Saccharomyces cerevisiae S288C: one gene and its partners. The gene in region 1 interacts genetically with each later gene. Each region holds a gene or a part of one and is shown on either strand. Other genes may lie near its edges.

Region 1 (3,761 bases):
GGAAAAACAGATGTATCTATATGAATAGGATTTATAAATTCTGTTACAATTTATCATTCTCTCGTAATGATTTTTATGAATTTCACCATCTCCTCAATATGGGCCGCAAAGATGATCCAGTAAAAAACAATCCATCGGCAGAAGAGGAATAACAAATAAAGATAACAAAGTTTGACTACTCTTTCGTTGCAAAGTACGGTTCGACAATATTTATTATTCAATTTCTTCAATCTTGGAACCCTTCTTCGCATTTTCATTCTTGCCGTTTTCTTCGCCGTCGTTATCATCGTTATCATCAGCATCATTAGGTTCTGTTTCTCCTGCAGCCGCATTGCTTAAAGATGCCAACATATCTGATAAAGAAGCACCATGGAAATAAGAAGTGTTGCCGTCACTGTCGGAGCTGGGCCTCTGCCTTATTTGAATCCCGGCTTCTAATAGAGCCTCCAACGAAAACAAGTCAATAGGGCCAGTTCTATCCTCACCTGATAACTTTGAGGGAGTAGCACTGCTGCCTAATTCGGTATCAAGATCATCAATTTCCATGTCGTCATTATCTTTACTACGATTCAAGCGGTCTTGTAATTTTTTGGTGGTTATTGCGAACACTTCGTTATCATCATCCGAAAAATCATGGAAATCAAAAATACTTTTCCTTCTTTGGACAAAAGACGTTTGGATATTGTAATTTTTTGATCTCATACGCTCAAACCATTGTGACTCAGATTCATTTTCCTTTAGTAAAGCAACAATGGAAATACTCATATTATCACAGCCAATTCCTGAGCCTTCAGTTGTGGGTGAACAACAAACATCTACGATTCTAGATGAAATGTCGCTCAACGTCATATTACCTTGACTTATACCGTAGTGAACCAAGTCAACACACTCTTGAGAAGTTAAACAATCCCAAATACCATCACATGCTAAAATAACAAATTCATCCTCATCATAATTCAAATTGTGACAAATGATATCAGGAACACATGTAACGACTTGCTCATGAGGTCCCAATTTTGTGTTAGATTTGAATTCAAAATCACCTATGGCTCTTGATAACGCTAAATTTCCATTAACACGGTCCATCTCAACAAAACCATCAGCAGCTACAATACGAGATTTTTCACTTAACAATGTGGGCTTATGATCAAATGACATTGCTTTACTATTACCACCAGTAGATAGAACTGTTCTACTATCACCGGAATTGGCGCAAATTAGTAGCTTTTTCAATTGAGATACCAATATCACAGTTGCTGTACAACCACTATGGTCATCTTTTAATTTTTCATCTTTCAACAACTCAACATCTGTAGCTAAAAAGGTATCTATTAAGCACTGCTCTAACATACCGCTCTTGAAGCTCTCCTGTTTTTTCAGTATAGATATCATTTTAGAGCCACAAAACTCCGCTACAGAAGAACCACCATGACCGTCAAATATACCATAAAATGCGAGATGTTCCTCGTCAGACTCAGCCAAAAGGTTCGGCTCAACAATATGGGCATCTTCCATGGACATACGCCAGCCTTGCATGGCACATAGTCCAAACGCTGTCAAACAGTCCGTACCAGAATGATGCTCTTTGTCGATAATTGGATTGGACAATATTTGACCCATGTTATCTCTCTCTTTCTTCGATTTGTCTTCTTGGCCTTCTTCGTCTGCCTATAATAGAAACTTCAAAAAGTAAAATGAATATAGTCTAAAAACAGAAAGGGGCCTTCCGGTGGCAACAATCGAGCCAACAAGCTCTAAACACCTTTTACTCCTTTGAGTTTATTCTCTTGAGGGACAACCCATGTTGTTTTTTCTTCAACTCGCTGATATCACGCCTGACGAAAATAATGTTTAAAGGTTATTACTACTCTTCTAGAAGCTCTTAAGCATAAGAGCTAATTGTTTCTTGCTATATTACTTGTTGACAGCGGAGTAACATGATAACGTCTTTTTAATGGAAAAGATGACAGTTTCTTCGAATTACACCATAGCTTTATGGGCTACTTTCACCGCAATCTCCTTTGCCGTGGGTTACCAGTTGGGTACGTCGAACGCATCATCAACTAAGAAATCCTCAGCTACTTTACTGCGTTCTAAAGAAATGAAGGAAGGAAAGCTACACAATGACACTGATGAGGAGGAAAGTGAAAGCGAAGATGAGAGCGATGAGGACGAAGATATTGAGTCCACTTCATTGAATGATATACCTGGAGAAGTTAGGATGGCATTGGTGATTCGTCAAGATCTTGGCATGACAAAGGGCAAAATAGCGGCACAATGCTGTCACGCAGCATTGTCATGTTTTAGACATATTGCTACAAACCCCGCGCGTGCTTCATACAACCCAATTATGACACAAAGATGGCTAAATGCTGGACAGGCTAAAATAACGTTGAAATGTCCAGATAAGTTTACAATGGACGAGTTGTATGCGAAGGCTATATCACTTGGGGTGAATGCAGCAGTTATTCATGATGCTGGTAGAACACAGATTGCTGCGGGAAGTGCCACCGTATTGGGTTTAGGACCTGCTCCAAAAGCAGTATTGGATCAAATAACAGGTGATTTGAAATTGTATTGAGGTACAAATGATATATACTACGGGTATAGATATACGTGCATTTATATATTAAGTTGAAGTCTTTTCCCGTTTCTGTTTTTGTATATTTATGCTCATGCCCATCTTTGCACGACAACGGAGTTCAGCAGATCAGCGTCCTTCAATGTTGTCTCATCGTTGCTTATTGGTTTGATAGGAAAGGCATAATTCAAGGTGAAATTCCTCGATGGGTCAGTGTTCGCATTTGATGTCACATGCTCATACAAAAACTTTACTGTATCTGTGGAATTGCAGTGCAAAACTTCTCTTTTGCCATTTGCGTATCTAATTTGGATGGAGGTGTCGCCTTGTTTTGGCTCATTGTCCGGCATGGGTTGTTCCTGAGCAGCGGGTGTCTCATTCTTTGGAACCTCCGCAGGTGACGATTCACCCGGGATAGGAGATCCTAGTCTTTGGCCCTGGCCTGAAAAACCGCCCAGTTTTCTCGTCGGAGCTTTATAAGACTCATCTAATTTTTTATATACATTAACTTCAACTTCTTGTCCAAATTGCACATCTAAGAGCTTTAATGGAGCCCTCCCTTGATTTAACTCGCTCAAATAGAAACTGTTCGCAGGATCATCATAGCGATAAAGCGGACCATCGGCCACTTGAAAACCTTCCTTCCAAAATGTAATTTCTCTTGTGACTTTTTCTGGTCTACGTTGTGATTGTGAAGTGTTGTCTTCTACGACTTCATCTGCTGCGTCGATGGTTGACCCTAATCTAAAACCTCTTCCAGTAAACCTATTGGCACCCATTTCATGGTCTTCGTCATCACGGAATCCGTTTTCAGCGCCCATTTGACCACCCCTTCTCGCTTTTTCCAGCAAATCCTTCAGTAATGAATTAGGATCTGAAGGATCTGTAACCTCTAAGCCGGATGTTTCACCACCAGCAAAAGTATTTCTCGGTTGATCTTCATCGTCATCATCAGCTTGACCTCTTACCATATCCGAAAAGCTCATAAACCTGGAGTTGTTACCACTTCCAGAGCGGCTACTACCCTTGGTTGGTTCAGGAGAGGTAGAACCTTTCCTTTTCAAGTACTCGTTGCTACCTTGTGAGGATCCTGGTTTTGGACATAACCCACCAACGTGCTCCGTATTTATGGCTTTATTCGAAGAGTTGGTGGAGAAGGCTTCTTGCTTGAGGGCCTTCT
Region 2 (3,761 bases), on another chromosome or scaffold:
GAAAATTGCGAGACCGCTCGTGGAAGGTGACGATAATACGATACTTACAACTTTAATATTATAAATATAAGCATGTGGTGGAACAATATAGTCAGGCAAACTGCTAAAAGTCCCCACTTATAAACAGTGTGTAAAAAGTACGTTTGTTTTTGCTCCTTATCCTTTATTTGGCGTTTTGACAGTGAAGACAATGCCGCTACCGATGCGTTGGTTATATTAATTCCTCGATTAATTATACCATATTTTTGAATGTCCAGTGCAAATGAAGAATTTGTATTCGTAACTTCGTATGTCGGTAGGAAATACTGACCCAGGAACTCATTAATTGAATCGCTGCCTAACAGAGGCTCAACCTGCAGGTCTATCCCCTGCCAATTTTGAGAACTCTCATTAAGATATTTTTCAAACTGAGTGTTTGTGTCGTTAACCCAAAGATTTAGGATGTCCGTTGATTGCACTTTCAAATTGGGGTCAGTTTGAAGGCTTAAATTTGCTGTAATGAACTTTTCATTCACTTCCATTTGGAAATTTTCACACAATAATGATACGCTGTCATTAATGAAACCCTCTATCGTAGTTGTTATATTTCCATCTGTCCAAACTTCCCTTTTGTATAGCGAAGGTCCCGCTCTTTTGTGGAATGTAGGCAAACTGGGTACTTCAAAGTTTGTTAATCGCGTCACTATCTGCCAATGAATTAATAACATCAAAAAACCAAACAGCCACAGGTGAGCCCCATTTGAGATTATCCACCAGTTACAGTAAAATAGTTTTGATTTTTTGACTTTTTTGTCATCGATTTTTTCTGGTTCTCTTTTAAATATTTTTTGATTGATAAGCTTTGTTAATTGGTAGGGAATTGGATAAAGTGTACTGAGATTCAGAGTAGTAATTAAGCTTTTCAAAACTTTGTTGTATTTAGTAAAATTGGTTTGTCCTGTCAGGCCATTAATTTGGGACATAACCAGGTTTACTTGCTGATTTTCCAGCTGAAACAGAATTCTTTCGATTGCCATGAGCAAAATCACAAATGCAAAGTACATGACTGTGAAAATTATTGTCATTCTCTTACATTTACGGAAAACGTGATTTTTTACTGCACTTAGTACACTGTTTTCCTCGCTATTTGTTTTCAGAGACCGTTTAATTATTGAAGTAGACGATGTAACCTCGGTACTCCCCCCAGATAAAATGGAAATTTCATTCTGTAAGTTTGCAGTAAAGTTCCTTTTCAACTGAAGCCAGTCAGTGGAATTTCGTAGAAAATTCAAACTTAAGGTACTAGAGGTATCTAATTGAGTAGAAAAGTCAGTGATAGTGCCATTGAAGTTCTGCAATGATTTCAATTTCCTTGAGTAGTTCCCAAAAATACTGTCAAACATGGAGTAATTTAACAGTAGGTTTGATGCCATTTGTGAAATGGAATCCTTATCAATGGTCATTGCGTCTTCTGATATTTCATTCCATGTGTCATTTATCAGCTGTGATTTAGTGAGTAGTTCGTTAAAAATTGTATTGTTTACCTCAAGAACTTCCTTAATCAATTCAGTTTCCAAACTTATTTGGTCGTTGATAAGTTTTTGTTTATTATCCAGTATGTCGTCTGTGTATGACTTGAATTTTTCTTGCATATCCGTACCTACCGTAGATTCAATACTCCGTAGTTTGCTTTCGAAATACTGATCAATTGTATTATCAATGAATGTTTTATTTAAAGAGTAACTGTTGGCAGAATATATGGCATGCTGTGTTGTGACTGCTGTCATTGTGGCCGTTGTTGTGGCCGTTGTTGTGGCTGTCGCTGTAGCAGTTGAAATAGATGCAAAGGTTGAGACGGTATCATTTCGTTTGACCTGTGCGTGAGACATTTTTGCCATTGTAATGTCAATGACTGAAAAGGAACCCCAAATAGTTAAAATAACAGAAGTAAAGAATATCAGTAATAGAGGATGGAAAATACAACTAAAAAACCTCTGTGGAAGTGATAAAGGTTTAATTATGTGTACATTGTTCATCTTTGCCGTACTCTTAGTTTTATCGAAAAGTGGTGTAGATTTTCAGCTACTTAAGCCATGTTAGTGTTCTAGTTTTTTGCTTTACATGTTATATAAAGGGCCAAGATAGCATATGTAAATGTTTTATTACTGGGCTGAAACATTTTTAAAACATTTTTCAATAATGTGCTGTTATAACCGTACAAGGACGGTTATAATTCTGAATTAAAATGCTGCACCGAATGAAAATACCAATGTTCTTCCAAACCTATTGGCGAAAATTAAGATAAGCTGTCGCCTCTATAATCAAGAATAATCTCAACTATTATAAATATTATTCCCAGAAGTTGAAATTGTGACACATTTGAGTAATATCACCTTACACGGAACATAGTTGCCCCCTTCTCCGAAATTGCTGACAATGATAATCGGGGATTCAATGACAATGACAATGAAGGCAAAAGATTTTCATATTGTACTCTTGTTTTTTGAGTTATCACTTTCAAGTACCTTCTTGTTAACAGAAATAGAACCGCTATAGAGGTTATCGTGTATACGTATCTGTTGGTGTTTCTAAATCAAAAACTCGCTTTTAAAGCAGTCTTTCAATTGGAAGATTCAAAAGGATCTAAAAAGATCTAAAGTAGTAAAGAAAAAAGTATAAGCCCACACCTTTTTGGTAGGATAATGTTTACTGGTCAGGAGTATCATTCCGTAGACTCTAATTCCAACAAGCAAAAAGACAACAATAAACGTGGTATTGATGACACATCAAAGATCTTGAATAATAAGATACCGCACTCTGTTAGTGATACTTCTGCCGCCGCCACCACCACTTCTACTATGAACAATTCTGCTTTAAGTAGATCCTTAGATCCTACTGACATAAACTATAGCACAAATATGGCTGGTGTGGTTGACCAAATACATGATTATACTACTTCCAATAGAAATTCTTTAACCCCACAATATTCTATTGCAGCTGGAAACGTCAATTCGCATGATCGGGTTGTTAAACCCAGCGCCAATTCAAACTATCAGCAGGCTGCATACCTTCGACAACAGCAACAGCAGGATCAGCGACAACAGTCACCCTCTATGAAAACTGAAGAGGAATCCCAACTCTACGGTGATATTCTGATGAATTCTGGTGTCGTACAGGATATGCATCAGAATCTGGCCACTCATACAAATCTGAGCCAACTGTCGTCTACCCGTAAGTCCGCTCCGAATGATTCTACTACAGCCCCGACTAATGCGTCCAACATCGCCAATACGGCTTCTGTGAACAAGCAGATGTATTTCATGAACATGAATATGAATAACAACCCACATGCCTTGAACGATCCATCCATCCTGGAAACATTGTCGCCATTTTTTCAACCTTTTGGTGTTGATGTAGCACATTTACCTATGACGAATCCACCAATTTTCCAAAGTTCTTTGCCTGGATGCGATGAGCCAATTAGAAGAAGAAGAATATCAATCTCTAACGGTCAAATAAGCCAGCTAGGCGAAGATATTGAAACTTTGGAAAACCTGCACAACACACAGCCGCCCCCGATGCCCAATTTTCACAATTATAATGGTCTGAGCCAAACTAGGAATGTATCAAACAAGCCGGTCTTCAACCAAGCAGTGCCGGTTAGTAGTATTCCACAATACAATGCAAAAAAAGTTATTAATCCCACGAAGGACTCCGCATTGGGTGATCAGAGCGTTATTTACTCGAAAAGTCAGCAGCGAAATTTTGTAAACGCGCCATCA
Region 3 (3,761 bases), on another chromosome or scaffold:
TTGGTCTAGCTTCATATGTTGGATATAAATTTAGATTTGACTTACTATACTACATCAACACACTTGCTCAACATATACTATTCCCCTCTAGGCAAGTTTTAGACATGACATATGAGTTAATACAATTCATGTGGGACACTAGAGATAAACAACTGATATGGCACAAAAACAAACCTACCAAGCCAGATAATAAACTAGTCGCAATAAGCGATGCTTCATATGGTAACCAACCATATTACAAGTCACAAATTGGTAACATTTTCCTACTCAACGGAAAAGTGATTGGAGGAAAGTCGACAAAGGCTTCGTTAACATGCACTTCAACTACAGAAGCAGAAATACACGCAGTCAGTGAAGCTATTCCGCTATTGAATAACCTCAGTCACCTTGTGCAAGAACTTAACAAGAAACCAATTATTAAAGGCTTACTTACTGATAGTAGATCAACGATCAGTATAATTAAGTCTACAAATGAAGAGAAATTTAGAAACAGATTTTTTGGCACAAAGGCAATGAGACTTAGAGATGAAGTATCAGGTAATAATTTATACGTATACTACATCGAGACCAAGAAGAACATTGCTGATGTGATGACAAAACCTCTTCCGATAAAAACATTTAAACTATTAACTAACAAATGGATTCATTAGATCTATTACATTATGGGTGGTATGTTGGAATAAAAATCAACTATCATCTACTAACTAGTATTTACGTTACTAGTATATTATCATATACGGTGTTAGAAGATGACGCAAATGATGAGAAATAGTCATCTAAATTAGTGGAAGCTGAAACGCAAGGATTGATAATGTAATAGGATCAATGAATATTAACATATAAAACGATGATAATAATATTTATAGAATTGTGTAGAATTACAGATTTCCTTTTATGGATTCCTAAATCCTCGAGGAGAACTTCTAGTATATTCTGTATACCTAATATTATAGCCTTTATCAACAATGGAATCCCAACAATTATCTCAACATTCACCCATTTCTCAAAACTATCACGGAATACTAATCGAAGACTAGTGACGCACGTTACGCTATAGCAACAACGTCACAAGGATAACGTTAGTAGTTTTTTGGAAGGACAATTGCAAACTATATGTAAACGAACGAAGACACACAGTCCAAAGCTGTAACAACAACCACATATATAAATGGTAGTCTTCTAGGAAACTTCACTGTAAGATTAGATACGTAGAGGTGAAAGACAAGTTGAAGTTTGGATCGGAAGTTCCATTAATATTTGGGTAAGTAAGTTCGCCGCGCGGCAGAAACGGTGAGTACTTACTCACTTTTGTTCTAACTACAACAAAAAACTGTAAAAGTGGTGTAAGGTTTACGTTCCGTTTTGGTTGCAAATCATCAGCCCTGGTTTAAGCTTTATGTCCAACATTGGTTAGCGAAGGCACCGTACTGGTCTCGATGTCGGTGAGCAGGGGCGGCGAAATTCATTCCAATCTTGGATAATATATATGTATATATCTATACACGCGGCGAGATCTTGTCCTCTAATTTCCCTTCGCTAAATCATTAAGAGGTCATTCATGAAGTTAATTCAGCACCAAAGTTGGACTGTTAGACACGAGATACACATTGCAGTCCAAATGTGCAGATTTTTCAGATAATTGTCGTCGCACAAGACTGCCCCTCCCGTCCTCAGACAGACACAAAATTAGATTTTACGTTTACATAAAGATGTACATAACTTGAAAAAACGTTAATCCCTCTTAAATTTAGACCTTGTAAGTCTTCCTGGCCACTCTTTGTGATATATTGTAGTGCAATATATTGATTCGTTCTTCTTATTTCTTTGTTCTTAGGCATTTCCGCTTTAGAAAATTCGTTGGGTGGTTTCTGCGACGGGTATCCCCTTCGATTTTGCATAATGATCTTCAATTCTACAACTAAAATCAAGTAGATACAGGAAAATATTCCATAAATTATAGTGTAAATCGCCCTGTATACACCTTATCGTTTCATCTCAGGCAAGTTAAAGCATTTGGGAAACGTGCTAGATGACAGAAGAAGATAGAAAGCTCACTGTAGAGACAGAAACAGTTGAGGCACCCGTGGCAAATAATCTTTTATTGTCGAATAACAGTAATGTAGTAGCACCTAATCCTTCTATTCCCTCTGCCTCCACATCTACCTCTCCGCTACACAGGGAAATAGTTGATGATTCTGTCGCTACTGCTAACACCACCAGCAACGTTGTACAGCATAATTTGCCCACCATAGATAACAATTTAATGGATTCCGATGCCACGTCACATAATCAAGATCATTGGCATTCAGACATAAACAGGGCAGGAACATCAATGTCAACGAGTGATATCCCAACAGATTTACATTTAGAACATATCGGCTCTGTTTCATCAACTAATAATAATAGTAACAATGCCCTAATCAACCACAACCCTCTGTCATCTCATCTTTCCAATCCGTCATCTTCATTACGAAACAAGAAGAGCTCTTTGTTGGTAGCTTCTAACCCTGCGTTTGCTTCAGATGTTGAACTCTCGAAGAAGAAACCTGCCGTCATCTCCAATAATATGCCTACAAGTAACATTGCCCTTTATCAAACAGCGAGATCGGCGAATATTCATGGTCCATCATCAACTTCCGCATCTAAAGCGTTCAGAAAGGCTTCGGCCTTCTCCAATAACACGGCACCCAGCACTAGTAATAACATCGGCTCGAATACACCTCCAGCTCCTCTTTTACCTCTACCTTCACTATCACAACAAAATAAGCCAAAAATAATAGAGAGGCCCACAATGCACGTCACTAATTCAAGAGAAATACTTTTAGGTGAAAACCTGTTAGATGATACAAAGGCGAAGAATGCTCCCGCGAATTCAACCACACACGATAATGGTCCAGTAGCAAATGATGGGCTGCGTATACCGAATCACTCGAACGCAGATGATAATGAAAATAACAACAAAATGAAGAAGAATAAAAACATTAATAGTGGGAAAAATGAACGTAATGATGACACCAGCAAAATATGCACTACATCTACTAAAACAGCGCCTTCAACCGCACCTTTGGGCAGTACAGACAATACTCAGGCTCTCACTGCTAGTGTCTCCAGCAGTAATGCTGACAATCACAATAATAACAAGAAGAAAACCAGCAGCAACAACAACGGCAATAACAGTAATAGTGCATCCAATAAAACCAATGCCGATATCAAGAATTCTAACGCCGACTTGAGCGCTTCTACCTCTAACAATAATGCAATAAATGACGACTCACATGAGAGTAATTCAGAAAAACCAACAAAGGCGGATTTTTTCGCTGCAAGGCTGGCTACAGCTGTAGGTGAAAATGAAATTAGTGATTCTGAGGAAACATTTGTTTATGAATCGGCAGCTAATTCGACTAAAAACCTAATATTTCCTGACTCCTCCAGCCAGCAGCAGCAGCAGCAACAGCAACCTCCAAAACAACAGCAACAGCAACAAAATCATGGAATAACCTCAAAGATAAGCGCCCCATTGCTAAACAATAACAAAAAATTATTAAGCCGACTGAAAAATTCAAGACATATTAGCACTGGTGCCATATTGAATAACACAATCGCGACTATAAGCACAAATCCGAACTTGAATTCTAATGTGATGCAGAACAATAACAATCTGATGTCGGGACACAATCACCTGGACGAGTTGAGCAGTATAAAACAGGAGCCACCGCATCAATTGCAGCAGCAGCAACCACCAATGGATGTACAATCGGTAG

What was found.
Region 2: mutations in PTC3 (region 1) and PRM2 together harm fitness more than expected from each alone (negative genetic interaction), as found in Saccharomyces cerevisiae (one large-scale study listed by BioGRID).
Region 3: mutations in PTC3 (region 1) and VAC7 together harm fitness more than expected from each alone (negative genetic interaction), as found in Saccharomyces cerevisiae (one large-scale study listed by BioGRID).

Annotation. Positions count from the first base shown.
Region 1 is NC_001134.8:111,621-115,381, reverse strand, and holds PTC3 (type 2C protein phosphatase PTC3), read right to left. Parts: upstream 1,621-3,761; coding exon 214-1,620; downstream 1-213. Other genes in the region: PTH2 (aminoacyl-tRNA hydrolase), read left to right, coding at 1,955-2,581; protein phosphatase regulator SHP1, read right to left, coding at 2,674-3,761.
Region 2 is NC_001141.2:282,985-286,745, forward strand, and holds PRM2 (pheromone-regulated protein PRM2), read right to left. Parts: upstream 2,016-3,761; coding exon 45-2,015; downstream 1-44. Other genes in the region: CST6 (Cst6p), read left to right, coding at 2,682-3,761.
Region 3 is NC_001146.8:524,057-527,817, forward strand, and holds the start of VAC7 (Vac7p), read left to right. Parts: upstream 1-2,029; coding exon 2,030-3,761. UniProt on the Saccharomyces cerevisiae protein: The PI(3,5)P2 regulatory complex regulates both the synthesis and turnover of phosphatidylinositol 3,5-bisphosphate (PtdIns(3,5)P2). Positively regulates FAB1 kinase activity.